2 linked regions of the Elephas maximus indicus genome follow. The protein of the gene in region 1 interacts with the protein of each later gene in a biochemical or structural test. Links are inferred from orthologs where the notes say so. Each region holds a gene or a part of one and is shown in the gene's direction. Other genes may lie near its edges. The genes, in order: MAP1LC3A and ATG7.

Evidence for each region.
Region 2: the proteins of MAP1LC3A (region 1) and ATG7 form a complex in vitro, tested with the Homo sapiens proteins (2 studies listed by BioGRID, with this or other methods). The link is inferred for Elephas maximus indicus from reciprocal best matches to the Homo sapiens genes MAP1LC3A and ATG7.

Annotation. Positions count from the first base shown.
Region 1 is NC_064843.1:34,893,985-34,910,350, reverse strand, and holds MAP1LC3A (microtubule-associated proteins 1A/1B light chain 3A), read left to right. Parts: upstream 1-10,974; 5' UTR 10,975-11,137; coding exon 11,138-11,177; intron 11,178-11,475; coding exon 11,476-11,531; intron 11,532-11,618; coding exon 11,619-11,725; intron 11,726-12,026; coding exon 12,027-12,189; 3' UTR 12,190-12,196; intron 12,197-12,473; 3' UTR 12,474-12,640; downstream 12,641-16,366. Other genes in the region: PIGU (phosphatidylinositol glycan anchor biosynthesis class U protein), read right to left, coding at 13,377-13,490. UniProt on the Homo sapiens protein: Ubiquitin-like modifier involved in formation of autophagosomal vacuoles (autophagosomes). While LC3s are involved in elongation of the phagophore membrane, the GABARAP/GATE-16 subfamily is essential for a later stage in autophagosome maturation.
Region 2 is NC_064838.1:36,391,582-36,408,117, forward strand, and holds the start of ATG7 (ubiquitin-like modifier-activating enzyme ATG7), read left to right. Parts: upstream 1-9,314; 5' UTR 9,315-9,379; intron 9,380-16,536. Other genes in the region: HRH1 (histamine H1 receptor), read left to right, coding at 1-446. UniProt on the Homo sapiens protein: E1-like activating enzyme involved in the 2 ubiquitin-like systems required for cytoplasm to vacuole transport (Cvt) and autophagy.

The DNA of each region.
Region 1 (16,366 bases):
TTGGAGCTGCATTTGGTAACAGCCGCCTTTCCCCTCCTCGCACCCTGCGAGCTTAGCCCTCTGCAGTGGGAAGGCAGGACTGGCTGGGCCTTGTCTCCTCACTTTGTGCTTTCACCTCTTTGCCCCACGTTGCTGTGTTGCTACGAGGGAGCAAGAAGGGAGAGGAAACTTTATTCTTGACTAGTACTGTTGTGACTCCTTGGGCCTGGCAAGCATTTAAAGCTGAACCTCGTGTTTCTAGTGAATTTTTCATGAGTTTTCAATGGCATCCCCTTATCAGCCCTGCCCCTGCCCCCTTCTGCTGGGTCTCTCCCACCTGCAGTTCCATTACTTGGGTGGTGCACTCTGGCTGGCCCCTTGCAATGTTTCTTTTGGCCTCTGGTTCTCAGGGTCCCCTCTACACACTCTGTAGAGTCAAGGTGAAGCACATCACCTCACCCCCTCCCTTCATAGGTGGGGAGATGGCATATCACCAGCCACTAAAAGGTGTCTTCGGATTTCCAGCTCTTTTATAGGCTAAAGGTCAGGCAAGAATACAAAATCCCTTAGGGCCTCCTTGTTTAGCAGTCTTGCATGGTCACACGCTCCTCCTCGGCATATGGCCACTGTTGTCTTGGGCCTCAGCTGAAACTGAGAAGATAATTCCACTTCAACATCCTTAAGAAAAAAACAAAACAGCCATCAAGTCAAGTGCAACTCATACAGACTGTAGGACAGAGCAGAACTGCCCCATGGGGTTTATAGGGCTGCAAATCATTACTGAAGCAGACTGCCACATCTCTCTCCTGCAGAGCCACTGGTGGGTTCGAACTGCACACCTTTTAAGTTTGCAGCCAAACGCTTTAACCATTGTGCCACCAGGGCTCCTTTTTAACATCCTAGTTCACAAAAAATACATTGTTAAAGACTTTGCCTAAAAGGCAAGGTGAAATAGGAAACAGTATTTTGTTAACTGTCCTTGGGTTTTGAGCACCTTTTCAACATGCAAGACTATTGTTTGACTTTCAGGCATTAGGTTTTCATATATATTTAGAGAAAGCATCATTAGGAGATTCCTGTAACTCGTTCTTACTTTATAGTAATCTTTCACAAAATGGTGCTTCATTCATTCAACAATTACCTGGTGAATGCCTACTATGTACCAGGTGTCAGTCTAGACACAGAGGAGACAGCAGCAGAGCTTATATTCTAGTGGAGACACTGCCAACTAAAAACAAAAAGCTTGGGCCACACCCCAGACCAATAAATCAGAATCCCTGTGAGCCTTGGGCATCAGTAAAAATAAAAAACTCCCCAGGTTTCTGTGACATGCAGCCAAGGTTGAGAACCACCAACACAGGGCCCTAGGGCCCTGTGACATGCAGCCGAGGTTGAGAACCACTGACACAGGGCCCTGTAGGCCATGGTATGGAGGCTGTAACAAAAATACCATTCAGAGACGAAGAACTCTTCAAAGATATAAACAATAAATTCAACAAAGAGTTTCAAGATAAAGTTGAGGAAATCCAGAAACTGGAGGAAAAGGGATAGAAAATGGAAGAGAAAAGTTAGAAATAAAGGATCAGTCCAGGATATTCAACATCTGATTAACAGGAGTTCCAGAATGAGAAAACGGGAGGAAATTATCGCCAAGAGGCTACACAAAAGCATCCAGAAATAGGGACATGAATCTCCAGATTGAAAGATCTGAGTGTCCAGGTCAAAAAAAAAAAAAAACTAAGCCAAAATTCCAGAAAATAGAATGACAAAAAGCTGTACAATAAAAAGCAAATCCAGGGGATAGTACATGGCTCAGCTATACTAGTTATGTAAGTAAAAAAAAAAAAAATTGTAAGTAGAATACTATAAACCCCAAATGGTGCTACAGCTCTGCTGAGGGGATGGGAAAGGTAATGGAATGTAAGAATCAAACTACCTTTCATGGTAAGAACTTAAGACTCAAGAAATCACGGAAAAAACATGGTTTAGAAACATGAAGGTAAATATCATAAGGAACAGCTCTAAGTATTTAAAGTGCTATTTGACTTATCCAAATATTATCTGGATAAAAATTTATTAAAGGTCTGTAATAACCTAAAGATATGCTTTAATATGATCAGCCAGTGCTTCTCAGTCCTTTTCCAATGATGTAACTAATAGGAGAGTTAGCTAGAACTCCAGGGTGAATCTGGAGGTGCAGACCAATGGCAAGCAAGAAATATCTTTGAAATCTATTATTTATAAAAATTTACACCAATTTTGCTTTCTTGTGGCTCTGTGGAGAATGTGGGGGCAGATGGAATCACGCCATTTAGCCAGCTAAGAACTGATGGTGGCTTGTCAAGAGGCGGGGGATTCCGCAGAGAGCGCCGTTAGGACTTGCCGATGGGTTTGAATGTAGGGAGTGAGGGAACAAGGCATCAAGGGAAACACCTAGGCTCTTGCTTGAGCAGCCGGGGGCTGCCGTTTGCTGACTGGGAATGACTGGGGAACATGTTTGGAGGGATGAGGGGATCAACAGTTCCAAAATGGCCTGCTTAATTTGGGTCTACTAAACATGAGCAGGTCAAATAAGATATGTTGAAATTATACCTCAATAAAACTGATTTTTCAAAAATTTTTAGAAATGTATGTTGAATGGACTGCTAAATACACAACTCTGGCAGTCTGGGCTGGACAAAGAGATTTGTGATTTGTATTTAAAGACAAGGGACTCAAGCAAACTCAGCAGAGTAAGAGAAGAGAGATGAAAGGACAGAAGTCTGAAGACATCACCTGGGACACCTCCCCTCTGCAGGGAAGCTCAAGGAGCAGGAGCCAGCAGAGGAGAATGAGGAGCAGGGAGGCCAGGAGAGTGAGGAGCCACAGAAGCTGTTTCAATTAGAATTCAGTTCAGCTGCAAATAACAGGAAACCCCAAAATAATGGCTTAAACAAGATAGAAGCTTATCCAGTTCAGGCTGGAATGGTGGCTCCACAAAGACATCAGGGACCCAGGCTCCTTTCAGCTTTCAGTTCCATCCTCAGGGTGTGTGGATCTTGTCCTCATGATCCAAAATTGCTGCTGGAGCCCCAGCTATCACATTCATGTTCCAGGCAGCTAATAGAGGATGGAGATGAAGGAAGCACCTCTTTTCTTTAAGGAGATGTCCTACAAATCCCATACATCACTTTTCACTTATGTTTTATTGATCAAAGTTTAGTTACATTGCCACTCCCAACTAAAATGGAGGCTGGGAAATTAAGTCTTCTAGCTGGGTGTATGGCCACTGTGAAAGAGGGAAACTGAGACAGTGAGGCCCAGAAGAGAGGAAAGGCTAGGTTCAAGACTCCATATGGGCAGGGGCCTCCACTTCCCCAGTGGAGCCAGAGCATCTTTGGGGACTGAAAAGTGGACAGTCTGAGGCAGAGGTTTGGGGGGCCCTGGATGGGTTTCAGTCCCTTCAGTCTTCAGAAAAGTCCACTTAGAACCTGGAAACAAGAATAATCAATCCTTTCAGGGGACATCTAAGTCAATTGGCATAATAAAATCTATTAACATTCTGCATCCCACTTTGAAGAGTGGCGTCTGGGGTCTTAAATGCTAGCAAGCAGCCATCTAAGATGCATCAATTGGTCTCAACCCACCTGGATCAAAGGAGAATGAAGAACACCAAGGACACAAGGTAATTACGAGCCCAAGAGACAGAAAGAGCCACATGAACCAGAGACTACATCATCCTGAGACCAGAAGAACTAGATGGTGCCTGGCTACAACCAATGACTGCCCTGACAAGGAACGCAACAGAGAATCCCTGAGGGAGCAGGAGAGCAGTGGGATGCAGACCCCAAATTCTCATAAAAAAGATCAGACTTAATGGTCTGAGACTGGAAGGACTCTGGTGGTCATGGCCCCCAGACCTTCTGTTGGCCCAGGACAGGAACCATTCCTGAAGCCAACTCTTCAGACATGGATTGTACTGGACAATGGGTTGGAGAGGGACGCTGGTGAGGAGTGAGCTTCTTGGATCAGGTGGACACTTGAGACTCTGTTGGCATCTCCTGCCTGGAGGGTAGATGAGAGGGTAGAGAGGGTTAGAAGCTGGCGAAATGGACACAAAGAGAGAGAGCAGAGGGAAAGAGCGGGCTGTCTCATTAGGGGGAGAGTAATTGGGAGTATGTAGCAAGGTGTATGTAAGTTTTTATGTGAGAGATTGACCTGATTTGTAAACTTTCACTTAAAGCACAATACCCCAGTCCCGTCGAGTCGATTCTGATTCATAGCGACCCTACAGGACAGAGCAGAACTGCCCCACAGAGTTTCCAAGGAGCGCCTGGCGGATTCAAACTGCCAACCCTTTGGTTAGCAGCCGTAGCACTTAACCACTAAGCCGCCAGGGTTTCCTAAAGCACAACAGAAATGATTAAAAAAAAATAATAATAATAATCAATCCTTACTCAGAAGAGCAAGGAGGCCAGTGTAGCTGAAGCCAAAGGGGTGAGGGTAACAGTAGTTGAGGCCAGAGGTGCAGCAGGGAGCCATATTCCAAGGGCCTTGTGGGCCTGAGTCAGCCTTGGCTGTTGCTCTGAACCGGTGGGACCCAACTCCTGTGTGCACAGGATCGCTGTTGCCACTAGGGGCCAGGCCAGAGCAGTGAGGAGACAATGGCAATTGTCCTGGCGAGAGATGATGGTGGCTCTGACCCAAGTGGCAGCAATGGAGGTGGTGAGAAGTGGTCAGACTCTGGAGATATTTTGAAGGTGGAACTGATATGATATTGGAATGGATTGGATGTGGGTGGTGGAGGAAAGAAAGGAGTCAAAGATGACACCAAGGTTTCTGGCCTGGAAAAAATGAGACAGTGTTGATTACAAGTGAACAAGCTTTCGGGGAAGATCACATGGGTTGGTTTGGGGCAGGTCAAGTTTGAGGTATCAGACATTCAAGTCAAGGCATGGAGTAGCCAGGCCACAGGATTCAGGGGAGACTGGGAGATGAGGAGGAACCAGCAAAGAGGGAAGCCTGAGGACAGAAGGAGGAGGCAGGTCAGGCACTGTGACTGGTCAGGAAAGAGGAAGATGAGCACAGACTTTTGGATTTGGAGGATGGGCTCTCCTCCCCAACTCTAGCCTCAGCCCAGGGTTTAGTCTGAAAAACAAAAGAGAGGTGTAACCACTTCCTAAGGCCACAGCTGACCTAGTTCTTTCTGCTGCCCTTAATGGCTCTGATCACAAACTTATGTTGCAATGTTTGTGAGATTCTTCACTTTGACACAGAGCTGTAAATCAATGGCCAGCAAACCAAGGCCCTCATGCCAAACCTGCCTGTTTTAGTAACATTTTCTTGGAACACAGCCAGTCCCATTTGTTCAGGTGTTGTCTATGGCTGCTCTCAGCTACAACAACTGAACTGAGTAGTTGCCACAAAGACCATATGGCCTGAAAACCTTCAACATTTACTGCCTGGCCCTCTACAGGAAAAGTTTGCTGACCCCCTTCTAGATCCTTCCATTGTAAGTGTATTGTGTTCTGTTACAGGAATACACAACAAGATATTTAGTTAATAGGCCATTTAGGTGGTGTCTTAGGCTCAGTTCTCTAAAGAAGCAAAACCAGTGAAGTGTTTATATATAGACAGAGAGAGAGACTTATATCAAGGTAATGGCTCACCCGGTTGTAGGGGCTGTGAAGTCCCAACTCTGTGGGTCAGGCTGGAAGCTTCTCCTGACTCACGTAGCTACAGGGGCTGTTGAACCCAAGATCGGCAGGTCAGCTGTTAGCTCGAGTCCCAAGAACCAGAGGTCAGATGAACAGGAGCCAGCTGCAGGATCCAGAGCCAGCGAAAGCCTGCAAGCTCTGCCACAAAGTTCATCTATATTGGATGCAATCCACAGAGCCAAGGAAAATCTCTTTCAATTAATTGGCCACTGACAGCAGATCCCATCATGGAGGTGATCACATATCAGATCTCATCATGGAGGTGATTACATCATTAAAAAGCTGCCAAACTACATCATAACTGCCAAACCACTGAGGATTGTGGCCCAGCCAAGGTGACGCACAACCTTAACTATCACAGGTGGTTTCCACTTTTTTGCTATCAGGAAAATGCTACAATAAATATTCTTAACCATGTTTGCTTGGGCTCAGGGACACATGTACAAGTGGAATTCATGGTTTGTGGATACAGGCATCTTCTGTTTTGGTAGATTTTGCCAAACTGCTCTCCAACGTGGCTGAAATCACAAGTTTTCTCCACTATCCGAAAGTAGATCGTTCCTATGAAAACTTTCAGAAGCCAAAATGGCATAATTTGAAGACGCAATTATCATTAATTTAAACGCGAAAATTTTTTCAGCATTCTCGGACCCAAAAAATAATCTACCAAATCATACCCAATAACGCATAAAACACTTAGGAGCTCTCTTAGGCTTTTCTGATACTTTAAGACATGTTACTAACGGATGCACAAAATAAATCGACATAATGCACAGACGCTCACAGACCCAGAGCAAATCTATGGTGGCTTGATGCTGAGTGCAGTTCCTGGTGAAGGAGCTTGGTGACATCATTCTTGCTGCTTGGGGTGTGCACTGCCTAACGGCTCAACAAATGCTGAATGCTATTTCCACTTTTTGCCTTTTTTTGTAAAAGCAAAAATACTCTTTGGATTTCTTTGGGTTAGCAAAAGAGGTACTAATGTAGGTCCTTCGTAAAAGCCAAGTGGCATAAAGAGAACTTTTCAAAAGCAGGGGATACCCGTACACTCCCATCAGCAGAGCAAAAACATTCCCAACTTCACACACTCTTCTAAAGCCTGATACTGTGTACTGTCGTTGTTAACTGTATTATTTACCAGTCTCTTCTTGACAGCAGTGGGTTTTAGTTTGGGTCTTCTTGTCTGTAGATTCCCTTGGATTTTCTGGCTGTCAGTAACAGTTTTGCCCCTTTCTGTCCAGTCCTTAACAATTTTATTCTTCTTGTCTTGCTTTGGGTGGGCCCTCCATGCAATATTGAACAGAAACCCTTGGTTCCTGACTTTAAGCGGAATGCTCACTATTTCACCATGTAGTATGGTGTTTTACATTAAGTATAATGTTTGCCGCAGGTTTGGGATTTTTTATCTTGGTAGAACTCACGTGGAAAACCATCTAGACCAGTTGATTTTTTGGGAGATAGATTTTTAACTTTTTTTTTCCATTTTCCCAATGTTCTTAATAGGTATAAGGCTATGAAGTTTGTCTACTTCTTTTTGAGTTAGTTTTAGCAAATTATATGTTATTAGGAAATTGTCTATTTCATCCAAGTTTTAAATTTACTGGCATAAAGTTGTTTACAATATTCCAGTCATTTTTGTGATTCCTGTTCTATCTGTAGTTATGTCTCTTTTGCACACTAATGCTCATTTTATCGGTCTTTTCAAAAGCCCAACTTTGATTTGTTGATCCATTAATTTCTGCTCTTATTATCTTCCTTCCACTTTCTTTGGGTTTACACTGTTACTCCTTTTTAAATTTGATGCTCTGCTTAAATTTAATTTTATATTAAATTACCCATATACATAATAAGGCTAGACATCTCCTTCTAAGACTGCTGCCTTAGTTGCATGTCCTTCCAAGAGATTTTGATATCTGTCCTCATTTTTTATCAAATCTAAATGTTTTCTATTTCTACACGATTTCACCTTTGAGTACAGAGTTATTTGGAAGTATGTTTAAATTTCCACTTCCCCACTCTGTGGTCAGAGGATACGGTCTGCATGAAATTGATTATCTGGTATCTGCTGAGATTTTTCTGGCGGCCTAGTGGTTAGGTAATTCTTTGTAAATGTTTCACACGTGACTTAAAATAACTTGTTGGGTTCAGGGTTCAACTGAAGTTCAATGATCAGGATTATTGTGTTAAAAATCTTCTATATCCTTTCTTTTCTGGCTGCTTGGTCTATCAGTTACTGAGAGAGAAGTATTAAAATTTCCTAGTATGGAACATTTTGATCAAAGATTCTATAGAAGAATCCTGATCAAAATGGAGAAAATATAGAACAGAATTTCAAATTCTCATTGAATCCAAACTTTCCAAAGCTGTGGAGGCTGGATGAACCCCTGAAACTATTGCTCTGAGATAATCTTTAAATTTGAAACCAAAAATATCCCCTGAAGTCTTCTTAAAACCAAACAATAGTGTAGCTTAACTAGTAAAAAATGTCTGCCTTGAGCATTATGCTCTTTCAAGATCTATCTTTATGGGATCAAACTGACAACAGCAACTCAAAAGATTAGACAGGAACTTAGGGGAAGTGAGTTTATGTTAATCAGGGAAGAACAATTCGGAAAAGCAGGGTGAGAATGGTTGCACAACTTGAAGAATGTAAACAGTATCACTGAATTGTACCTGAAGAAGCTGTTGAATTGGTGTAAGTTTTGCTGTCTACATTCTCTACAACAAAATAATAAATTAAAAAAAATTTTTTAAAGATTTTAAAGCAATAAAAAAAATTCCTAGTATGATAGAGTATTTGGCAATTTCTCCTTATACTTCTGACATTTTATATATTTTGAGCCTATTGTACCTGGAACATACAAGTTCAGAATTGTTATATCTTCCTAGAGAATAGTGCCTTTCATCATTTTCTAGTGACCTGTTTTATCCCCAACAATGCCTTTTGCCTTAAAGTCTATTTTGTCTGATTTTGCTATACATACATACTTTGGTTAGTTTTTCTATAGTACATCTTTTCCCACCTTTTTTTATTTTTGATGCCTTTAGGTTTTAAGTGTCCCCTTAGGCTGGGTACTCTAGAGAAGCAAAACCAGGAAAGCATATAAATACACGCAGGGAGAGATTTATATCAAGGAAACAGCTCACGCAATTGTAGAGGCTGGAATGTCCCAAGTCTGTGGATCAGGATAGAGGCTTCTCTTGATTCACGGAACTGCAGGGGCTAATGAACCCAAGATCAGCAGGTCAGAGAGCAGGGCTCCTGCTCTCAGGCTGTGAAGATCGACAAATCCCAAGATCTGCAGACAGGCTAACAGCCCAAGTCCCAAGAGCCGGAGGTCAGACAAACAGGAGGAAGCCACAGGATCCAGAGTGAGCAAAAAGCCATAATGTCTTATATTCGGATGCAGGCCACACCCCCGAGGAAACTCCCTTTCAACTGATGGGCTACTCACAGCAGATTCCATCATGGGAGTGATCACATATAAACACTGAGAATCGTGGCCCAGCCAAGATGACACGCAATGTTAACCATCACGCCTTTACAGCACAGAGCTGGATTTTATCTTCCTTAGCCAATCTGATAACGTTTTTTAACAGGTGAACTTAAAACACATTTCCTACCTCTGGTTTTGTGCTGTTTACCATCCTTTTTACTTTACTTCCTTTTTCTCCTTTCTACCTTCTATTGTATTTTTAGCACCCTTTTTTACTACCCTTTTCTCTTTTCAGCACTGACAGTTATGCATTCCATTTCTATTCTTCTAATGGTCACTCTTAAAAGTTTAAAATACATATTTGACTTTCCGAAGCCAGACAACTGTCAATATCTTTATCCTCCTCTCAAACAAATCGGATTTCTTAAGAACACTTTAACTCTGATTACCCTCTCCTGCCTTACATGTTATTGTGTCCCATGCACCTTCTTTTTAATCCCCACAAATTAATCATTACTATTACTGTTCTAAAAGCAGTGGCTGAGCAATCAGCTGCTAACTGAAAGGTCAGCAGTTTGAACCCACCAGCTGCTCTGGGGGAGAGAGATGTGGTGGTCTGTTCCTGTACAGACTACAGGCTTGGGAACCCTATGAGGCAGTTCTACTCTGTCCTACAGGGTAGCTATGAGGCGGGATGGACTTGAGGGCAACGGGTTTGCTTTTTATTCCTGTTTTTGCTTTTTTATTACTGTTCTATATTAAGTGCCTGTTTAGACTTACCTAGCAGTTTACTACCTTATGTGCTCACCATTTTTTCATCTAATTTCTTCCCTCTGGGTTACTTGTTATTATTAAAGTATATCCTTCAAAAATTATTTAAGCAATCATCTGTGTAAACTATGCCTTTGTCTTAACATATCTTTCCTTCTCTCAGACTCTTAAATCATGGATTAACTTACTAGTTGACCATATTTTTCCCTCAGAAGTTGAAGATGTTATTACATTTTATTCTGGCTTTTATATTTGCTGCTGAGAAGTCAACCATCAGTCTTATTTTCCTGCCACAATCTTTCTATTCTCTCCTTCTGGAACTCTGATGATTAGACCTGTGAGTCCTTCTCACTTTATTATTCATGTCACTCACTCATTCATACTTTCCATCACCTTCTTTCTCTGGGTAAATGCTTCCGATCTATCCTCCACTTCAGTGATTTTCTCTGCTATTGTGTCCAATTTGTGTTCTTATCCCATCCACTGAGACTTGAATTTCAATGCCTCTATTTTTCAATTCTAGAAATTATTTTTAAAACCTGTCTGCTCCTTTTCCGTGTCTTCCTCTTTCCATACGTTGAAATTCTTCCCCTCTCCCACCTCCCCCCTTTTTTTCCTGTAACCAAAAGCTCCATGAAGGCGACTTTGGTTCACTGCTCTTATCTCCAGCATCTAGTACAGTCCTTGGAACTCCGCGCGCCCTGGGTGCGCGTTTGTCAAATGACTTAGCGAGAGTGGGACCAGGTGGATGCTGAGTTGCTGCCGGGCCCACGCTCTCCTACCGGCATGAGCCACACGGCCCAGGTTGGGTCCGCCCCCCGCTCCCTTTCACCCCATTCCCCGCAACGGTCTCGCCGGTTTTCAGCTTTCACCTCAGTCCGGAACTTGGCAAGAGGTGCCCGCGCAGACCATGACGTCAGGGGACTGTGACGCTCCCTGGGAACCCCCGCCCCTTCGCGTCGCCGGGCCGGGAATCCAGGCTCTCTGCGCCGTGACGTCACGGACTCGGGCGGGCGGGTTTTGCGTCGGCCCAATGGGAGCGGCGCGCCGGCCTCCCCTTTAAGGAATGTTGTGACCTGACGTCACCGGGGCGAGTTACCTCCCGGAGCCGCCGCGGCTGGGCTCAGCGCGAGCCCGGAGCCCTTGAACGCGAGGCGAGGAGCCCCCGGAGCCCCCGGAGCCCCCGAACCGCAGCCACATCCCTGCGCCGCGCACCCCGGAGCCCAGACCTGCGCGTCCCGCTGGGCCCGCGCGATGCCCTCGGACCGGCCTTTCAAGCAGCGGCGGAGCTTCGGTGAGGCCTGGCGGGCGGTCTGCGAGCGCGGGATGGGGGGCGTCGGACCCATTCCGACTGCCGCTGGTGACGTCAGCCCCATGACGTCAGACTCCGGCTGGCCCCGGGGCTGGGAGGCGGGCTCCGGCCGGGCCGGGGGCATCAACGCTCGGTCCTGTGCCGGGGACTGCGGGGCCGGACGGCCCGGGGGCGGGGGCTGGGGCGGGCGGGGCGGGGCTGCGGCCGCCCCTCGGGAGCAGGACGGGACCCGGAGAGCACCTCCGCCCGGCCTCACCGCCCCACCGACCGTCGTCCGCAGCCGACCGCTGTAAGGAGGTGCAGCAGATCCGCGACCAGCACCCCAGCAAGATCCCGGTGAGGCCCGCCGTCCCCTCCCCGTCCCCGCCCTGCCCCAGGCCCCGCCTTGGGCTCACGCACCCCCCCCCCCCGCCCCTCTCCCAGGTGATCATCGAGCGCTACAAGGGTGAGAAGCAGCTGCCGGTCCTGGATAAGACCAAGTTCCTGGTCCCGGACCATGTCAACATGAGCGAGCTGGTCAAGATCATCCGGTAAGCGGGCAGCCCGCCGCTGGAGAGGGACTTGGGTCCAGCTGGCGTCAGGCAGGCGACCGATGCCCTCCGGGAAGAGGCTATGGTGGGGCCAGGGCCTGGGACCGGTGCTGGGCATCTGTTCTGGGGCGGCCAGACAGTCAAAAGGGTCCGGGCTGGGGTCAGTGTGGAGACAGAGATGAGACCCTTTTGAAGGATCTGAGGTGGTTATGAAGCGAAGGTTGGGAGCCATCCTGGGGAGAGGGTTGGGGGCTAAGGGACCGGGCAGCTCACAGTCCGCATGCCCTCCCGCCCGCCTCAGGCGCCGCCTGCAGCTGAACCCCACGCAGGCCTTCTTCCTGCTGGTGAACCAGCACAGCATGGTGAGCGTGTCCACACCCATCGCAGACATCTACGAGCAGGAGAAAGACGACGACGGCTTCCTCTACATGGTCTACGCCTCCCAGGAAACCTTCGGCTTCTGAGCCAGCAGTAGGGGGGGTTGGCCTGGGAGTGGGGGGGGGGGGTGGGGAGCCAGTCAGGCTCTGCCCAGGGAGCCCCTGTCTCCTGAACCGAATTGCCTCTGCCCCTGGTGGGCTGGGCAGGGATGTGGCCCCGTAGCCAGGGGACATCAACCATGCCACCTGTGCCCCTGGGCAGATCCTGGGCCAGTCACTTTAGGGTTGCCCCTCTGGGTGTTGGCTGGGATGGGGGAGGGTGGGGAGCCGCCCCCTGCACCCCTGCTCTGTGTGGTTTGTCTTTTTTTTAGGCCCATGCCTCTCTGCCCATCTGCCCCTCACCCACCCGAGGCACTGCCCCGTTCGTGGACCTGCTCACCCCTAAGGACTGGTCCCTGGCTTCCCTGGTCTTGACATGGTGTATGGATCTGTGGTCATTGTTCCTCTGCAGAATTAAAGATTGCTCAGGCCTGCCTGGCCCTTTGCCTCCTGCTGCTTGCTTGTGGGGTGGGGAGGGTTGCTGATGAGACTGTGGGGAACCATTCTCAGCCTGCAGGGAACAGACTTTTGTTCTGTGGACTCAGGGCTCATTCTGGAAACCCATGCCAGTGTGTAGTAGTGTTGTTGGGTGCTTTTGAGTCAATTCTGACTTGTTGTGACCCCATGTGACAGAGTAAAACTGCCCCATAGGGTTTTCTTGGCTGTAATCTTTAGGGTCGCTATGAGTTGGAATCGACTCCATGGCACTGGGTTTGGTTTTGGTTTGGAATCTTTACAGAAACATACTACCAGGTCTTTCTTCTGCAGAACTGGGTGGGTTCAAACCGCCAACCCTTGGTATTGTGGCAGTATGAGGGGCCAAGCTACCCTCTCCAGGCATACACTGTGGTCCCAGGGTAGACATCTTCATAACAAAAACATTTATTAAGTAGCCACAACCCAACAAGTCCTGCCCACCTGCATCTTCCTCCTTTCTGCCTACGAGGGAGCTCCTTGGTGTGCAAGCCACAAAGTGGGGGTCCAAGGTGAGGTGCTCCTGGATCCTCCCCACAGGCCAGCCACGGCCCCCATCTGGTGCCAGGAATTTGTAATCCTGGACTTGAACCCCCATCTACCCAGGGACTAGCCTCCTGGCAATCCTGGTTGGAGGGCACGGTCCAGCTCCTGGCTTTTCCATCCCCCTGAAGTCCGTGCAGTCCTGTGCTCAGTCAGGCCTACTTGAGCACAAGCATGGCTTCCGTGCCGTCCTTGGCAGTCAAGTAGAGACCATGTGTGAGGTAGTACTCTCGCCGCAGGAAGGCGTAGAAGTAATCAGAGATGAGCAGGATCTGGGGAAAGAGAGAGGATGTGAGAAGCTGGAGGGTACTGCCCTCTAAACCCAGGGTCCCTGAGGGGCTGGGCAGGTGCTGGGGGACAGGAAGGCCCCAGCCTATGCCTGGATCAACAGCCACTGAGGAGACCCTGCCCAAAGCCTCCCACTTCAGGGCCCACCCTTGGCCCTGCAAGGTCTCGCTGGCCTCTCAAAAGTTGTCTGCACTCCGCCCCCTCTCTCCCTACCACGATCTACATCTCCCTTCCACACCCTGGCCTCCGAACAGCAGGCTAGTGCATCTGCATCCAGAGACCCCTCTACCTCACCACAGGGGTGGTCCACAGGCCCCTCCACCCCAGCCAGATCCAGACCAAACTCACTTCCCTGTCAAATCTTATTCTCCCACTCGGCACCCATGCCCCCATCTTCCATCTGGGTGCCCAGGCCATAGAATTATCTGGCACTTGTCACCCCAACACACATCCCCCTCATCCAATAAGCCATCAAGTCCTCTCAGTTTTATCTCTTAAACTGTCTCCCAACTCCACCCATTTCTGTTCATCCCCATGGCCAGCACTCTGTAAAAAGCCACTGTCGACTCCTGAACAACAGCAAGGCCTCCTCCTTAGGCTCTTTACTTTCAAAACACTCCAGTCCATTCTCCCCAGAGCTAGAGGGAGCTTTGCAAAAACAAATCTGGTTATGTTACTTTCTAGCTTAAAATACTCCAAGGGCTTCCTGTTTGGGGGTCTTGCAGTTGGCCCCACCCATGTACATGCCTCACCCTCCCTGTGTTCCACCTCACTTGGCCTCTTTGCCCCTGCTGCAGATCTCTGCTGTGTCCTCTGCCTGGAGTGCTCTCTCCCCTTTCATCTAGTCAATGCCTACTTGCCCCTCAGGTCTCAGGCAGGAGCACTGCCTCAGAGAAGCTCTCCTTTATCCCCCACGTTAGGTCTTGGCCATATTTGCCTCTATTTGGTAGCACAAACTCACCCAGGATGGAATTTCACATTCACCTGTGTGGGTGCTTGATGACTGTGGGTCTCCTCACTGGACTGGGAGCACTACTGGGTCAGGTTCCCTAAGTGGCTTGGCTCACCAGTTACCTCCATGCCCAGCTCAGTCTGCCTTTTCCATTCTGGGCCACCAAATCCAAAGGGTCCTAGAAGCTGAGCCCACCATCCCCCTCACCAAGGCCCAAAGAAGAACAATGATTTGCTAAGGTCAGCCACACGTAAGACCTGCAGTCATTCAATCCCACCCATCCCAAACTACCCGAGTCCTCCGATGCCTGGAACAGGAGGGGCAGGGGCCCTGGCCCACAGAAGGAAGGGGAGGAAAGGGCTCACCACTGCAGATACCAGCAGTTCACAGGCACCTAGAGCACACTCAGAGTATCTCCCTCATGGCACAGACAGGGAGACTGAGGCCTACAGCAGAGGAGGCACTTGGTTAGGGTTTTAGAGCAAGTTAGAGGTTGCAGTGAGCCTGGCTGGGATCTAGTCCACCAGCCCTCCAGCCCTGGCACTTCTCTCACTCACCTGCAGTTAATGAGAGCAGCTGAACATACCGTGGGCAGGAAAGAGACATGGAGGGGCCTGGAGGAGGAATTCAGGGAGGTGCTCCTGTCACCAACAACAACAAGTACCTGCCATCCTATCACCACAGGAGCCTGACTGGAAGGTATGCTCATTCCGGTCTTAAAGATGAGAAAACTTCAAGTGGCCATGGAACCTGCAAGGTGATGCACCTGGGGCCCAGTCTCAAAGGGCACAGGTATCAGTGGGGCAGACAGAACCCAGGGAGCCCCCCTGAGGCTTTGCCCCACAGCTGCCTGGACTGGCAGCTCCCAACTGACCCCCAGAGTAGAGGCAGTTATCACAGCAGATGCTAACCACATACCCTGCAATAGCTTTTCTCACTCAGGCCCCAAGATGCCCTGGCTGGGGAAGAAGAGCCTGATGCAGTGTCTGTCCTGGTGGAGGGGACCTTGAGCCAGGTCAGATGAGGGGTAGAGCCTAAGTCAGAATTTAGAACAAAACAAAATGAGCCCCCAAAGGACTAAAGGACCAAACGAACCAGAGACTCCACCAGCCTGAGACCAGAAGAACTAGATAGATGGTGCCCAGATACCACCAATGACTGCCCTGACAGGGAACACAACAGACAGTCCTGGACAGAGCAGGAGAAAAAACATAGGAGAGAATTCAAATTCACATAAAAAGACCAGACTTAATGGTCTTACAGAGACCGGAGGAACTCCTGAAACTATGGCCCCTGGATGCTCTGTTAACCCATAAATGAAACCATTCATGAAGCCCACTCCTCAGACAAAGATTAGACAGGCCTGTAAAACAAAAAAATAATGCAAGTGAGGAACATGCTTCTTAAGTTCAATCAAATATATGAGACCGAATGGGCAGTTCCTGACCAAAAGCAAGACGAAAAGGCAGGAAGGGACAGGAACTGGACAGACACAGGGAGCCCGGGATGGAAGGGAGAAGCATGCTGTCACATTGTGGGGGTTGCAACTAGTGTCACAAAACAACATGTGTATAAATTTTTGAATGAGAAGTTAACTTGAGCTGTAAACTTTCACCTGAAGCACAATAAAAAAGAAGTCCTTATACAAGCCTTATTAAAATTAGGAAATAAAAATTTGATAAAAAAAATAAAATTCAATTGAAAAACAATCCACCAAAACCAAACCAAACCCAGTGCTGCTGAGTCGATTCCAACTCATAGAGACCCTATAGGATAGAGTGGAACAGCCCCATAGAGTTTCCAAGGAGCCCCTGGCAGATTCGAACTGCCGACCCTTTGGTTAGCAGCCATAGCACTTAACCGCTACGCCACCAGGGTTTAAATAAAAGGGGGAGAAGAGAGAAATCT
Region 2 (16,536 bases), on another chromosome or scaffold:
CACATGGGGCTGGCAAGACATCAGAGGACCAGACCCTAGGTAAAAGCCAGCCCTTTTCCAAAGCAGACTTAAATACCCACACTGAGCCAGCGTCAGGGAAAGGCAAATTGAAAAGTGGGCCTGGCACAAGCCTGGATTATATCAAGTTCACGTGGAAGAGACTTCGATCACATTCAAGACAGTTTGTGTCTGGGTTGCACGTGAACCGTGAAAGGAAGGCAGCCAAACAATTGGGTTTTATCATGGCAGCCTTCATCATTTGCTGGACTCCCTACTTCATCTTCTTCATGGTAATTGCCTTCTGCGAGAGCTGCTTCAGTGAACGAGCACACATGTTTACCATCTGGCTGGGCTATATCAACTCCACGCTGAACCCCCTCATCTATCCCTTGTGCAATGAGAACTTCAAAAAGACATTCAAGAAAATTCTGCACATTCACTGCTAAACAGGGTTCTGATGGGCTGCAACAAAGGGATGCCGATGGTGTCCTAGAAGGCAATGGAGGATAAAGGCCTGTGTGTTGCCAGGCCTCTGGGCTTCCTGGAGTCAAACAACAGTCTTAGGCGCTAGGTCCTTTGGGAAGTTCTTATGCACCATTGGAAGAACTGCAGATGGTGGTGGTCAGCAGAGACATTGTACTCTAAGTAGAAAGCAGCGTCTCTCCAAGAGAATCAGACCTGGATGGAACTCTCCTTTTCCTCAGGAGATTTGGGAGCCTCAGACTGTACTTTCAAGTTTTCAGACTTGAATTAATTAGCAACCCAAGGGACATGTGGGTAGAGCTTCACTGGAGCGTTAGCCAGAACTCTAGATCTTTCCTGGAATGGAGCTGATGACTGTGCAGAGAGTTATATACACGCAGACAGATGGTGTTCCTTCGAAGGGGTCACCTTGAGAGGCAGGACAGCTGTCCCTCTGTGGCTGCCACTTGTCAGGACACCTCTCTTCTGAGCCTCTTTTACAACTTTCTCCAGAGCCAGTATCTCAATTGCCCTGGAAATTCTGCCTTATTATTTCTCACTCACGCATGTCTTAGAGTAGGAAATTATGCAGCTTGAACAGCTATCATTTTCAACCCCAAATTCCTTTTGGCTCTTAAAAATATAATGATAAAAGCTGCCCTCAAAAGAAAGAGAAAAAGGAAAATGGTTACACAATCAAAACAAAAAAGGGAATAGGGGCAAGAAAGCTTTATTTCTTGAAGGCTGTACCAGGTTTGGAGTCCCTGGGGGGTGCAAATGGTTAATGCGTTTGGCTGCTAAACGTTGACAGTTTGATTCCACCCAGAGATGTTGGAAGAAAGCCTTGGCAATCTACTTCTGAAAAATCGTCATTGAAAACCCTGTGGAGCATAGTTCTACTCTGACATGGAGTTGTCGTGAGTTAGAGTTGACTCAGTGGCAACTGGTTTAACTGGTACCATGTTTATCTTCTTTAAACCCCACAGCACCCCACAACGGAGGGTGTTGTTATAGGCTCCACAGCACCCCACAACAGGAGGGTGTTGTTATAGGCTCCACCAAATCGAGGTGCAGCAGGTTTCAGTAAGTTGCCTAAGGTCACATAGCTAGTTATACAGGGGAGCTAGGATAAAAACCCTGTCTGGTACCCCATTTTCTCCAAAAGGCAGAGATTGGTTCTCCTAAGTACAAATACACGCACACGCACACATTCCCAAGAGTAGTGGCAATTCTTGAAAAAATAAGTTGGGAGGAAAACCAGCTGACATAGAATAAGCTTGTGGCCGCAGAAGGTGACTACTATTTACTGGTGAGTTCTGTTGTGTTTGTTAAAAAAGTGGCCATGTTCTTTCACAGTCAGCCTTCTTAAGCAAAAACTAATAAGGCATGAGAACATACAGTTTTATTTGGTGTTTGTGTTGCAATCTGGTGGTGATCTATATTTTAAAACTTGAGCCTAGACTGTAATATGTGTAGCAAATGGGAGTGCCTGTACAAGCTAGTATTTTGAATCTTGTGTTACTGTTTGCATGATCTGTTAAAATGAGACCTTTTTACCTACCTAAATATGATGTTTGAAACTACAATGTTAAGTGATTTCTTTCTTTTTAACTTTGGAGTCTCTTGGACTGAGAAGATACATTCAAATGTAGTATCAACTGTTACAAGATTTGATATAGCGTTTCTCTCCCATTTCTGTTTGCATTTGTAAATAGCTTTAGAAAAGGACTTTTTTTTTTTTTTAATAAAAAGCTTCATTTTCACTCTGTTCCGCATCACGAAAAGTTCTTCTTGCTCAAAACTGGGAGAGTTTAGGAGATGTTTTTCCTTGTTTTTGAAGCTGCAGCTGGTCTATTTCCAGGTCAGAAACAATTGCTCAGAAGACCTGTGAGAGAATTTTGTCTCAGGATCCCTCAGGACCCCGAACACTTAAAAAGACCACTCCACACAGACATTACTTATACTGATGATAATTGACAGAAGTAGTAGTGAGAAGTGGTTATGAGCTCTGACTTTGGGGTTTGACAAGAACTCAAAGAAATAGTTAAAAAGTGTAAATGGTCAGAGTCTAGCGTTATTTTATTATAGTGTCTGTGGTGTATGCCACAGTGTCGGGTACACAGCAGACACTCATATATATGTTTTTTAAACCATGCTGAGGATACACTAAGATCCAGGTTTTGTGCCTTACCCATGTTATCTAGTTTAACCTTCACAACAACCTCATGAAGGGGATTTCCTTGCTTTTACAAATAGGCAAACTGAGGTACAGAGGGTTAAGGAACCACTCTAAGACCTGATTCTGGAATCTGCTTCCTTTCCACTGTATCAACCTACCCTTCCTACTCCTGACTGTGTGACTGAATTAATTTTGAATTTATGAAAAACAATGGACTATGATGCAGAGATAACTCAGCCCAGCACATGTAGGAAAGAATCGATGGCTGGCAGCTTGCATGAAATCCAGCTGAAGCCAGGCTTTCTGCCCTAAATATTAAAACAAACCCTTTATAGGGGAAGGCTGTCGTAGAAACCACAATTGTGGCTAAGACTCAGGACCTCCTTCAGGTTTCTTTTTTATTGGCTTAAGGCTGATTAGCTTAAAGTTAGTTCCCAGAATGACCAATTTGCCAAATTTATTAAGTTTGCTGATTTACCAAAAATTGGCTTCTTTTGAATCATTTACAAGGTTTACAACACTTCACATGAGGTGAGATTTTTAAAAAACATTTTAGAAACATGTTGAGAAATTATAGTACCTGGTTTTCACTTTTTTTTTTTAAATGGCAGCATATTAAGGAATGTCCTCTTTATCTATGCTCTCTGCTTACTGCTACTACAGGGAGACCCAGAAGCAGAAAGGGGGAAACTGAGGTGGAGAGAATGAGAGAGAGCAAGAAGAATGAGGGGTAGAAATAAGAGGAACTAGAGGGTCGCTATGATTTGGAATCGACTCGGCGGCAATGGGTTTGGGTTTTTCTTTTTTGGTTTAGGGAGTGGAGAGGAGGAGACAGACGGTCAGGAGGGGTCTAAGGAGAAGAGATGGGTGACACCAAGGAACAGAAGAAGGAGAGAGGGGGAACCAAATGCCCAGAAAGAGGAGGATACTGAAGGAGGGGCAGATTAAGGGGCAGATGGGGAGATTAAGACACAGAGAAGGAGGCAGTGGGGGTTCAGTGGTAGAATTCTCACCTTTCATGTGGGAGACGTGGGTTGGGTTCCTGGCTAATGCACTTTAGGCATAGCCACACCTGTCTATCAGTGGAGGCTTGCATATTGCTGTGATGCTGAACAGGCTTCAGTAGAGTTTCCAGACTAAGACAGACTAGAAATAAAGGCCTGGCAATCTACTTCCAAAAGTAAGCCAATGAAAACCCTGTGGATCACAATGGTGGGATCTTCAGTAGATGATGGGAATGGCACAGGACCAATTAGTGTTTCATTTCATTGTGCATGGGGTCGCCATGAGTTGAAGGCCGACTCAATGGCAGCTAACAACAATAACAAGACATAGAGAGATGAAGACATAAAGACACTGAGAGGGGATGGAAAAGGGGAAGTCTGAGGGACGGGAAAGGAGACGGGAAAGGAGAAGAAGCAAGTGGGGGATAGAAAAAGGAGACTGAGTGGCATAATATTAATACACTCAAAAATAAAAGCTATGTTCAAGAACATATTCTTCATTAATATACTCAAAGGAAAACTAAACAACCCTTAGCTTTTGATAAATAGAAAACATTTTGCTTTCTCTGAAGACAAAATGAAACCCAGTCAACTACGGTATCACATAAATCTTTAAAAGCTCACGAAGCTATTTCATTGATAGAAATTGCTGTAAACCTTATAAATTGGTCATTTTAGCTTAGTGTTCATTCAGAAAATCTGTCAGTCAGCAAATTGGCCATTGGTGAATTGGTCATTGGGCTTCTTGGCTTTCAGAAACTTGGCTGGGCTCCCTTTTGAAGACGGGAGGGACTTCCAGGAGGTAGATTTAATGGGCTTAACAAAGTGGAATAAGTTGCTGGGGCTCTTCTGGCTGCTAGGCACTGTAAGTGCTATGAAGGAACGATGCTGTTAAGATCTAATTTGCCAGTGGCCTTTCAAAACCTAGGCTGGCTTGGTCAGGTCTCCTACTGTAGGGAGTCTCTGCTCCCCTTAATTGAGCTGCAAGACAAGTGGTGAAAGTGCATTAGCCTGAATCGCTGTGGTCTTAGATAAGTGTCAAGGAACCTCGTTCCCTGCTGTGTCTGAGAACATTCTCTGCCTTTCAGTGGCTCCAGTTTCTGCAGCTCTCTTGATACTTGATGTTCCATGGTCTTGGTGCCCCAATGGTCTGTCTAACAAAAGCCACCCCCGACCCCATCTTGGTCAGCAGGGGCAGGCCTGCTGCTCTGAGCCCCACCCTAACTCCCTGCTAACAAGGTGGCCACATTAGTGGCCTGAGTCACCATTAGCCCTGGATCCCACATTTATTTTTGATGCTCAGACTTTGTCTGTTAATTTAACAAACACATTTTGAGTGCTTTTTGGGCCAGACCTTGTGCCAGGTGTTGGTAGACAATGGAGAACAAGACAGACATGGTTCCAACCCTATGAAGCTGCTTCAGAGTTCCAAATGACAGAAACAAGCTTTGTGAATGGTTCCCGGGGTATTTCTGGACTCCAGTGGAGTTTTGAGTAACCTAGCTTTGGGAAGGGCTTGAGCCAAGTCAGCCAAAGGAACCTCAGCACTTAAGGACATGCCCTCTAGAATACTGCCATGGACCTATGTGAATTGTGCCTAATTTTAGTCTCTACGAGCATTAGTTCAAAAGTCCAAAACTCAGGGTAGAGAATCATCATAGGTATCCACCTCTGCCCCAATCAACTGTGGAGGGAGGTGGCCCAGGGCAGCGTATGTGGTACTTAGACAGAAACCAACAGTTCCCAAAGAAGAGGGAATCATTGCGCGCTGGGCAGAAACTCCTGAAGTTGTTTATTACAGTCCAGTTGCTGTTGAGTTGATTCTAATTCATGGCGGCCCATGTGTGTCAGAGTAGAACTGTGCTCCATAGAGTTTTCAGTGGCTGATTTTTAGAAAGTAGGCCTTTTTTCTGAGGTGGACTCAAACCTGCAACATTTCGGTGAGTAGCTAAGTGTGTTAATGGTTTGCACTACCCAGGGACTCCAAGATCAGACACCAAAAAATACAAACCGAATTTGTTGCCATTGATTCCAACTCACAGTGACACTACAGGACAGAGTAGAACTGCCCCACAGGATTTCCAAGGCTGCAATCTTATGGAAGCAGACTGTCACATCTTTCTCCTGCAGAGCAGCTGGTGGGTACAAACCACCGACCTGTCGGTTAGCAGCTGAGCTCTTAACCACTGAGCCAAAAAAACAAACAAAAGAAACAAACCTGTTGCCATTGAGTCCATTCCGACTCAATGACCCTACAGGAGAGAGTAGAACTGCCCCATAGGGTTTCCAATGAGCAGCTGGTGGATTCCAACTGCTGACCTTTGGGTTAACAGCCATAGCTCTTAACCACTGTACCACCAGACCCTCCAAATTCCCATTCTTTGCCTCATAAAAGATTAGCTGAACGACTTCCCTCCGCTGATGAATTGGAAAAAAATGCTTGTTAACCAGACTTTGGTTAAGCTTCTCCCCTTCCCCTAGGCTCCTGAATTTTGACCCATCCTCAGCCTGAGCCAGCATACAACCCCTCCTGAGAATAGGCTGGCCTCCAGGTAAACCATTTTTTGATCCAATCAAGCCACTCCTTGTTTCTAGCCTTGTTTACTCCTCCCTCCTATAGGGTCACTATGAGTCGGAATCAACTCGACGGCACTGGTTTCTTTTTTTTTTTTTTTATAAAAGAAAATAGGGTCCAGCTCATAGCGACCCTATAGGACAGAGTAGAGAATAACCCCATACGGTTTCCAAGGAACGCCTGGTGATTTGAACTGCCGACCTTTTGGTTAGCTGCCATAGCACTTAACCACTATACCACCAGGGTCACTATGAGTCGGAATCGACTCAACGGCAATGGGTTTTATAAAAGAAAAATTCCTTTTGCCTAACACATAAGACTGGTTGTAGATCCTTTGGTCAGAGAATTCTCCCTATTGTAATAGTAGTCCTCTTCCCCTTTATTGCAATAGTCCCTGTCATGGATTGAATTCCCCCACCCCACTGCCATCGAGTCAATTCCGACTCATAGTGACCCTATTATATCCCCCCAAAAATGTGTGTATCAATTGGGCTGGGCCGTGACTCCTGGTATTGTGTGATTTTCCTATATGTTGTAAATCCTGCCTCTATGATGTTAATGAGAGAGGATGGGTGGCAGTTGAGTTAGTGAGGGAGGATTCAACCTATGATTGGATTGTGTCTTGAGGCAATCTCTTGAGATATAAAAGAAAAAAGCAAGCAGAGAGACGGGGCACCTCGTACCACCAATAAAGCAGCACAAGGAGCAGAGGAGTTCTTTGAACACGGAGCCCCTGTGCCTGAGAAGCTCCTTGGCCAGGGAAAGACTAAGGACAACCACCTTCCTCAAGAGCCAACAGAGAGGGAGAGAGAGCCTTCCCCTGGAGATGATGCCCTGAATTTGGACTTGTAACCTACTAGACTGTGAGAAAATAAATTTATCTTTGTTAAAGCCATCCACTTGTGGTATTTCTGTTATAGCAGCACTTGATGACTAAGACAGTCCCTTTCTCCCTCTTGCAATAATTCTTTTGAATAAAGTTTCTTCTTGCTCAGTTCAGATTTATTTTTTATTTGACAGTGTTAAGACAGGCTTCCATTAGAGGCCTGGGCCCAAAGTTCTTTCATCTTCAATAAGGCACTTATGTTTTCCCAGCCTCTGTTCTTTCATAGGAGTCCTTGGGTGGTGCAGATGGTTAGGCACTTGCCTACAAATGTTGGTGGTTTAAACCCACCAAAAGGCACCTTGAAAGAAAGGCCTGAAAGTTCACAGCCTTGAAAACCCTACAGAGTGCCCTTCTACTCTGCATGCATGGGGGTTGCCACGACCTGTTGCCATCGAGTCAATTCCAACTTATAGTGACCCTACAGTACAGAGTAGAACTGCTCCATAGGGTTTTCAAGGAGCAACTGGTGGATTTGAACTGTTGACCTTTTGGTTAATAGCCGTAGCACTTAACCACTGTGCCACCAGGGCTCTGGATTGCCATAGCAAAACCAAGGCAAACCCATTGCCGTTAAGTCGATTCTGACTCATAGCAACCCTATAGGACAGAGTAAAACTGCCCCATAAAGTTTCCAAGGAGCACCTGGTGGATTCAAACTGCTGATCTTTTGGTTAGCAGCTGTAGCACTTAACCACTACACCACCAGGGTTTTCCTGGATTGCCATAAGTAGTATTAAAACAAAGTCATATTAAGCCAGTAATAGAAATGAATTGAAGTTTATTTAATATAACCCGTTGCCGTCAAGTTGATTTTGACTCATAGGGACCATATACAAAAGAGTAGAACTGCCCCATGGGGTTTCTAGGGAGTGGCTGGTGGATTTGAACTGCTGACCTTTTAGTTAGCAGCCATAGTTCTTAACCACTGTGCCCACCAAGGCACCACTTATTTAATATACAATTTGCAAATTGGGGTAAATTTTCGACCAGAGAGTCAAAAATGTTCCGAAGATGAGAAGAACTTCCAAAATTCTTATACTAAATCTTAGCGGCATTGCCATGAGGAAAGGGCAGAACAGAACTGATAAGCAATTTGTGGTCAAGAAAAATTTCATACAGCATTGTCTTGAGAAGCAATTAAAATAATTACTGATTTACCCTAAAACATAGCTCCCAGTCTGATCCTTGGAGTCTGTTTCTTGAAACTGACTGAATTCTTCAAAAGACCACAATGCCCAAAGAAAAACAGTTTTACTAGTTTATATAGACCATTGTTTGGCTCAAAAGTGGCTTTTAGAAAACAAGTTTCTTCTAGGCTCAAGTTTTAAAAGGACACCTAAAGGCAAATGACCTATGTGGATCACCCTAACTCCATGGACCAAGAAATCTAGATTCCAGGAGAATTCAAACAGTTTCTCAAGGAATCTACTTGATAGCGGCTGGGTTTTGTTGTTGTTCTTTCATATGTAAAATCGGGGTAGTACCATACCATCTATCCTGAAGGACCGTTGTGAGGATTAGAGCTAGGAAACACTACAAACATGGTAGGGCATCAACAAATAGTAGTCATTGCTCTGTTTTAAGTCTATAGAGTCATATCAGGGTCACTTTGTGAAGAGACTTTCTATGCCAGATTGAGTTTATCACATTCGCTGTTGTATTTTCAGCACCCGTGGTTAAGTACTCCGCTGCTAACCCAAAATTCATTGGTTTGAACCTACCAGCCGCTCTGTGGGAGAAAGACATGGCAGTCTGCTTTTGTAAAGATTTTACAGCCTTGGAAACCCTATGGGGCAGTTCTACTCCGTCCTATAGGGTCGCTATGAGTCAGAATTGACTTCACGGCAGTGGGTTTGGTTTTTGGGTCTCTCCGCACTGCCTCCGTAGTGGTCCCCTGCTATGTTGGAGGTTTTCTCTCCTGGAAAATGGGAATGATGATAATTCCTGTCATCCTCTGAAATCGGAAGAGAATGTGGGGGCATTTTTTTGAAAGTTTAACGGCCCATGTACACATTCCCACATCCGTTAAGGCAGAGAAAGTCTCCGTCCAACGGCTCTCACCAGGTAGCCTCGCCCACCCCCTGATGCCCCGCCTTCCCAAGACTCAAGTTCCTCCCCTTCAATCCGGTGCTAGGGACTCATTTCCCCAGGCTTGCGCGTTTTTTCCTTGTGCGCACGCGCACCGCTCTCCCCACCCTGGTGGGGCGGGGCCATGGTACGTCATTGGGGCGCGCACTGCGGACGACGCTGTGGTTGCCGGAAGTTGAGCGGCGGTAAGTGAGCCGCGGCTGTTGAGGGAGTAGTGGGGGTCCTGCGGGTGGGTTTTGGAGGCTTAGGGAGAGGAGGGTAGTTCAGCGATGAGGGTCTGGGTGTTGGCGGGACTCAAGCTCCTCCCCCGCACGCCCCTGGGCGGTCCTTCCACCTGCCGGGCGTCACTGCCTCCCGCTGTCACCCTCTCCAACAGTGTTTTCTCAGGCTCCTTCAGCCCGGGCTCGTCTGACAAGGAAAACGAAAAAACAAACCCGTTGCCCTCGAGTCGATTCCGACTATTAGTGACAAGGAAAGCGCCTGCTAATTTCTTAAATCAGTTCCTCCTGTTCTTGGGCAGGGAGTGATCAAAATCTCCGGTGTTGGAACACAGGAGATGGGACACCTGGGTTTCATCCTGGCTTTGCCCAGATTTCTTGTGTGAGTCTGGCACTTGTCTCCCCTCTCTGAGCCTCTCTTCCCTCATCTGTAAAATAGGGATGTTTATATGTCATTTGGGAAATGAGAACTCTAAGGGTGTTGACAGCTAAGGTTCTGGGATGCTTGGGTTTGGTCCAGGGGTTGCAAACTCTAATACTTAACAGGAGTCAGATAAGGTAAACGATAGGTGTAAGAAAAGTTCTTTGTCGGAAATATAATCAGACTTTTATTTTGACTGAACTGAGTTTTATAAGCACAATACTGTCATGATATTGGAGATATGAAACCAGAACTCACTGTGCAGCTGAAGCCAGGCATACCTTTGGCTGTCAGTTTGGGACCTCTGGGTCCCGCAGTCCCTTTTCCACTGAATACTTGGGTCTCTTCTGTGACATCCCTGCCCATTGATTAAATTTCCACAGTCCCAGAAAGCGCACTACTTCTGGTTTCTCCTGTTTGGTTTTCCCCAAGTGCTGTCTCTTAAAAAGTCATACGTGGAGCTGAAAGCTGTTACCCAGTAATCTCAGCTTATCGTCCCTCCAGGCTCTTAAAATCTCCCTTCCACCTAATTGTCCTGCACATCTTTGAAAGCTGCTAGTTTGACTTCTTTTCCTACCCTCTCGCCTTTATGCTCTTTCAAAACCAGTGCCTACGAGTCGATTCCGCCTTTATGCTAAGTATACTTAATTTAGCTACCCGTGGTAAGCTCCGCAAGGACAGAAGATTTCGTCTTGTTTTATTTGTTGTTATATCCCCAGCATCTAGAACAGTGTCTAGCATATTATAGACATGCAGTTAGTAGCCAAAAAAAAACCCATTGCCTGAGTCGATTCCGATAGTGACTTTTAGGACAGAGCAGAACTGCCCCATAGAATTTCCAAGGAGCGCCTGGTGGATTTGAATTGCTGACCTTTTGGTTAGCAACCGTAGCTCTTAACTACTACTCCACTAGGGTTTCTATCCAATTAATAGTTGTTGAATAAATGAGTCAAGCAGTTGTGTGTTTTCTGTGTGCCAAACACATATGTGTGGTAGGCTCTGGTGATATACCAGCAAAATAAGATAAGTAAGGACCATGCTTTCACAAAGCCTGCTTTTTGATGGTGGTGGGTGGAATCATCAATAAACAATATTTTTGAAGGGTGGTGGGTGTTATCATATACTGATCGGGGCTATGAAGAAAAAAAAAGTAATGGGTTGTTGAGTAATGGGATTGGGGGAAGTAGAGGGCTATTTCTAAAAAGCTAGCTGGTCAGAGAAGTCTTTTCTGAGGAGGTGACATTGGAGCTAACACCTGAATGATGAAAAGGCCAGACTGTGAAGGCTCATCCTGCCTGACTTTTCCCTCTCTCCCCAACTCTGTGCCCCAGTCTCATTAAACTGCTTGCAGATTCTGTCTTGGCTACACTCCTTGTTTGTGTTGCTCCTGCTGTTCCTGCTGCCTAGAACACCCCCACCCTTTTTTTTTTTCCCCCTGGTCAACTCCTTCCTGCTCCTTATGTGACACGATTTTGAAACACCTTAAGGAGCTGAATACTGGGCTCTCCATTATTCAACCACAAGGTCCCTTTTCTGTTCCCAGCCAAACCAACCAACCAACCGAGTGCCATCGAGTCGTTTCTGACTCATAGCGACCCTATAGGCCAGACTAGAACTGCCCCATAGAGTTTCCAAGGAGTGCCTGGTGGATTCAAACTGCCAGCCTTCTAGTTAGCAGCTGTAGCACTTAACCACTAGACCACCAGTGTTCCATAATAGAAACTGCTACTGCTGAGTGCAAAAGGTTGGCAGTTTGAATCCACCAGGCACTCCTTGGAAACTTTATGGGGCAGTTCTACTCTGTACTACAGGGTCACTATGAGTTGGAATCAACTTGATGGCTGCAGGTTTTTTTTTTTTTTTTTGCTGAGTGCCTGGCAGTGCACTGCAATTTGGGAATGCAAAATTGAGTAAGATACATATCTCTGTTCTCAAGGAGTTTACTGTTTTTTAAGTCAAGGAGATAGACAACAACAGTACAGTATGAAGCTATTGTAGAGGTTTTCTAGAGGGGGACTGAGGAACGCCCGTAATTCAGGCTGAAGCATTAGAGAAGGCTTCTGTGAGGAGGTGATGTTTTATTAAGTCCTAGGATGAGTAGGAATTAGTCAGCTGAAGAGGGGTGGGACGTGGGAGAGATGATACCGCAGACACTGGGAAAGGCATGAGCGAAGGGTTGTAGGTGAGAGGGCAGAGCTGGAGTGAAGAGTTTTAGAATAAGAGGTGACTGTGGAAAGGCAAGTGGGAGCGAGATCATGACGGGCATGTAGTAGTCATGAGCACAGACTTTGGAATCAAAGATACTCGTGTACAAATACTGGCCTTGCTAATGAACTAGGCTTGTGGCTTTGGGCCATCACTTCCTTTCTAAGCTTCAGTTTCCTCATCCATAAAAAGTGGATGTGTTAACCTACATCCCAGGGTTTCTTTGAGAATTGAATGAGCTGATGTATTACCCACTTGACACTGGTAAATAGTAAACACTCAAAGAATAGCAGTTAGCATGACAATCTAAGAAGGTTGGACTTCATTTTTAAAGCTATGGGAACAGGCGGTGGGGCACTAAAGAATTTTTAAGAGGGCTGTGATATGCTCTAGTCTCTTTTAATTTACCCGGGCAGCAGTGTGGTGATTACATTGGACAGGGCAAGACCAGTAGAGAGAGCAGTCAGGGCACTGTTACAGTAATTCCAATGACAGAAATTGAAGACAGAATGATGTCAGTGCAGTTGCTGTGGGGACTGAGACAGGTGGGTAGATTTGAGAGAGAACAGGAGGTGGAGTTTTCTGGATTTGATAAATGATTGGGTAACAGGGAGAAGAGGAAAGCAGGAATCAGGATATTGGGAAAAGATGAATTCACTGTGTGGTAATCCCTGACTACCTCTGAGATTTTATTTGGAAGCCTAATTGGCCTGTCCTCCACTTTTACCCATGGATGTAAATGCCTTCCCAATGCCTTTCTTCTCCTCCTTTCTCTGTCTATCCTGTTCCCACCTTTCTCCAGTGTAGTTAGGCCTGCTTGTGTAATCAGGGTAGAATGCAGTGGTTAAGAGCTTGGCTGCTAACCAAAATGTCAGCAGTTGGAATCCACCAGCTGCTCCTTGGAAAACTTATGGGGCAGTTCTACTCTATCCTACAGGGTCGCTGTAAGTCGGAACTGACTCGATGGCAATGGGTTTGGTTTTTTGGTTGACTTTGTTCCCAGGAGTGTTGTTGGTTCAGTGGTGGAATTCTCACCTTCCATGAGGGAGACCTGAGTATGATTCCTGGCCAGTGGACCTCATGCACACCCACCAGCAGTCTGTCAGTGGAGGCATGTGTGCTGCTGTGCTGCTGAACAGGTTTCAGCAGAATTTCCAGACTAAGATGTGCTAGGAAGAAAGGCCCGATGATCTACTCCTGAATATCAGCTAACGAAAGCCCTATGGATTGCAATGGAACATTGTCTGATCTGAAACCAATCAGGGGGATGGTGCAGGACTGGGCAGTTTTGTTCCGTTGTGCATAGGGTCACCTTGAGTCCAGGGCTGACTCCACGGCAGCTAACAACAACAAGGACGAGAGCCTTGTTACAGGTCTGTTACTAGATCTCAGTCCATCCCCCAAACGATCCCCTTTGGGACTTCCTCACACCTTCTTCATCCTAGTTACTATCCTTTGAACATGTTCATCTTCATCAGTCCCTCTTCGAGTGCATGGTATAGAAAGGAAGTCCTTTTTCCTCGATGTGTCTGACCGTGCAGAGCAGACTGCATGTTTTTTGCAGTAACCTAAGACCCTTTCTCCCGATTTTCATCGGGGGATGCATCAGGCTCTTAACAAGCATCCCGTTACCAGGCAGGCCAGCGGGGCCCTCAGAGCTGCTCAGCGATCCCCTTGTGTCCTCAGGCAGCCCATTCCCCGCTATGACATCCACGGTGTCATCCCTCTCCTCACGCTCCTGCTGTGTCTTTTACTTCATGAGCCGTAGCCATCAGTTAAGGCTCCTCAGCTTCTATCATTTACAAGCTTATCTCCAGCTGACCCTATCATTGTGCCTTTTATTCTAATTCTGTGAAAGAAGTGGTGTTTGTCTTGAACAAGGCTGATTTCTCTACCTGTGCTTCAGATTCCATCTCCTTTTCTTTAGGGACTGGTTCCATCATTTGTTCCTTTTCTTTCCTGTGTCACAAACGTCTCTCTTCTAAATATCCTCAATTTCTTCTCAATTTGGAATTTACAAAACACCCTCCCATTAACCTCTGCTGTACTGCATCACTCCTCTTTCTGGCCACCGTTCTTGGGAGAGTTATCTGCAGCTTTAACCTCCGCTTTCTTAAGTTATCATCCGCTGAAACCCTGCTTCATCCCCTCCACGCCACCAAAACTGCTCCCCACGTCATCAGGCCTCTGCGTTGCTGCAACTCCTTCCTTATCTTTTGACTCCTTAGCACATCTCATGTTGCTTATATTCCTTCATTTTATGAAAACTAGTCCTTCTTTGTACTGTCTGTCTGGCCATTTACCCCCTCAGTTTGCATTGTGTGTTCTTTTCCTTCTTTTGACCCACTTTCTTCAGGGCTTTGCCCTCTACTCTTTGCTCTTCTCAACCATGGCTTCAGTACTCATTCATGTACCCATGACACCCAGCTCTGTAACTCAAGCCCAGATCTCTCTCCTAAGGGCCAGCCTGTAAATTCAACAAGTCCAAAACCAAGCTCATCATTTTCCCTCCAAACTTATGATTCTTTCCATCCTTTTTATCTCACATATTTCCCTCCTTCCATTTAATCATCCAAAATAGAACCCTGAGAGTCATCCTGAACTCTTCCCTCTCATGCCATCCCTTCTCTCTCCCAGGCCAGGCAGTCATCTGAGTTCCACAGATCTTACTTCCTTAATGTCTCTGGATGTGTTTCCTCCTCTTCTTTCCCTCCACCACTGCCTTAGTTCAGGCCCTCCTCACTTCCTGCCTATTTTCCTGCATAATCTCCAAGCTGGGTGTCCTGTCTCCAGCAGCCTGGCTCTCACTGCTGTGTCTCCAATACAAGCTGAAGTGCCCTTTCTAAACTGCAGGTGTTTTCTAAAATACAAATCCATGGCTTATCAAATTGCTGTGATGACATTCCTTGTCTAGCTTTCCCTCAAAACTATTGGCTCCTTAAAAGTAGAGACCATAGCTTCTTTAAGTGGGCAGTGGTGGTTCAGTGGTAAAATTCTCACCTTTCAGTGTGGGAAACCTGGGCTCAATTCCTGGCCAGTGCATGAGGAGGCTTACATGTTGCTATGATGCTGAACAGCTTTCAGCGGGGCTGTCAGACTAAGGTGAACTAAGAAGAAGCACCTGGTGATCTACTTCTGAAAATCAGCCAGTGAACACCCAGTGGGTCACAGCAGCCTGATCCGCAGCCAGTCACAGGGTGCAGCCAGCCAGCGTCTTGTTCTATCGTGTGTGGAACCAGTGTGAGTCAGGCCAACTCCATGGCAACTAATGACAACAATAGCTTCTTTCCCAGTGACTCCTGAACTATACCATAGGGACTAATATAAACGTTTCTTGAAGAAATAACTCAGTGGAAACCACTATGTCGTTAGCACGTATTTTGTTGGTAATATTAGCCCTCACGTTTTACGTGCTTCCTGTGTGCCAGATAGACGCACTTTCTAACTGAATCCTCTAAATAACTACACGATATGTGGTGTCCTGTGTTACAGATGAGGAAACAGGCTCAGAGAAGTGCAGTGACTTGCCCAAGGCTATGTGGCTAGAAAGTAACAGGCTGGATTTGAACTCTGGTGTCTGTGGCTCATGAACCTGTGCTCTTCCCAGTGCCTCCTACTTCCTGCATGTAACAAACGGCATTGTTGCGGAGTAGCTTTTTTTTTTTGGATCTACATATAAGGCCTTATATTTACTGCTACGAAATTTTAATCTTGTTAAAATTGACCTGTCATTCCAGGTGGTCAGAATCTTTTTAAACCATGATTTTTTAAATCATCCATTGTACTACCTCTTTATTTCTGCTTTATGTCTGTAGGACTGATAAGCAAACCTAAATTGTTATCCAGGTCACTGGATGTATTTATATGTCTGTTCCTCTCCTGTAAGGCCCTAGTTTACATGAACTACATTTAGTAACTTACACTTAAATAGGGAAAAATACGTAGTAAATGTTGATTTCAGGAAGTAGCATATGATTAAGAACTGATGGTACTGAAGGAAGAAGTCCAAGCTGCACTGAAGGCATTCGTGAAAAACAAGGCTCCAGGAATCGATGGAATATCAATTGAAATGTTTCACCAAGCAGATGCGGCACTGGAGGTGCTCACTCATCTATGCCGAGAAGTTTAGAAGACAGCTACCTAATCAACTGACCGGAAGAGATCTGTATTTATGTCCATTTCAAAGAAAGTTGATCCAACAGAATGCGAAAATTATTGAACAATATCATTCATATCACATGCAAGTAAAATTTCGCTAAAGATTGTTCAAAAGCAGTTGCAGCTGTGCATCGACAGGGACCTGCCAGGAATTCAAACCAGATTCAGAAGAGGACGTGGAACCAGGAATATCATTGCTGATGTCAGATGGATCTTGGCTAAATGCAGAGAATACCAGAAAGATGTTTACTTATGTTTTATTGACTATGCAAAGGCATTTGACTGTGTGGATCAATAACAAATTATGGATAACATTGCAAAGAAGAGAACAAGAGGATGC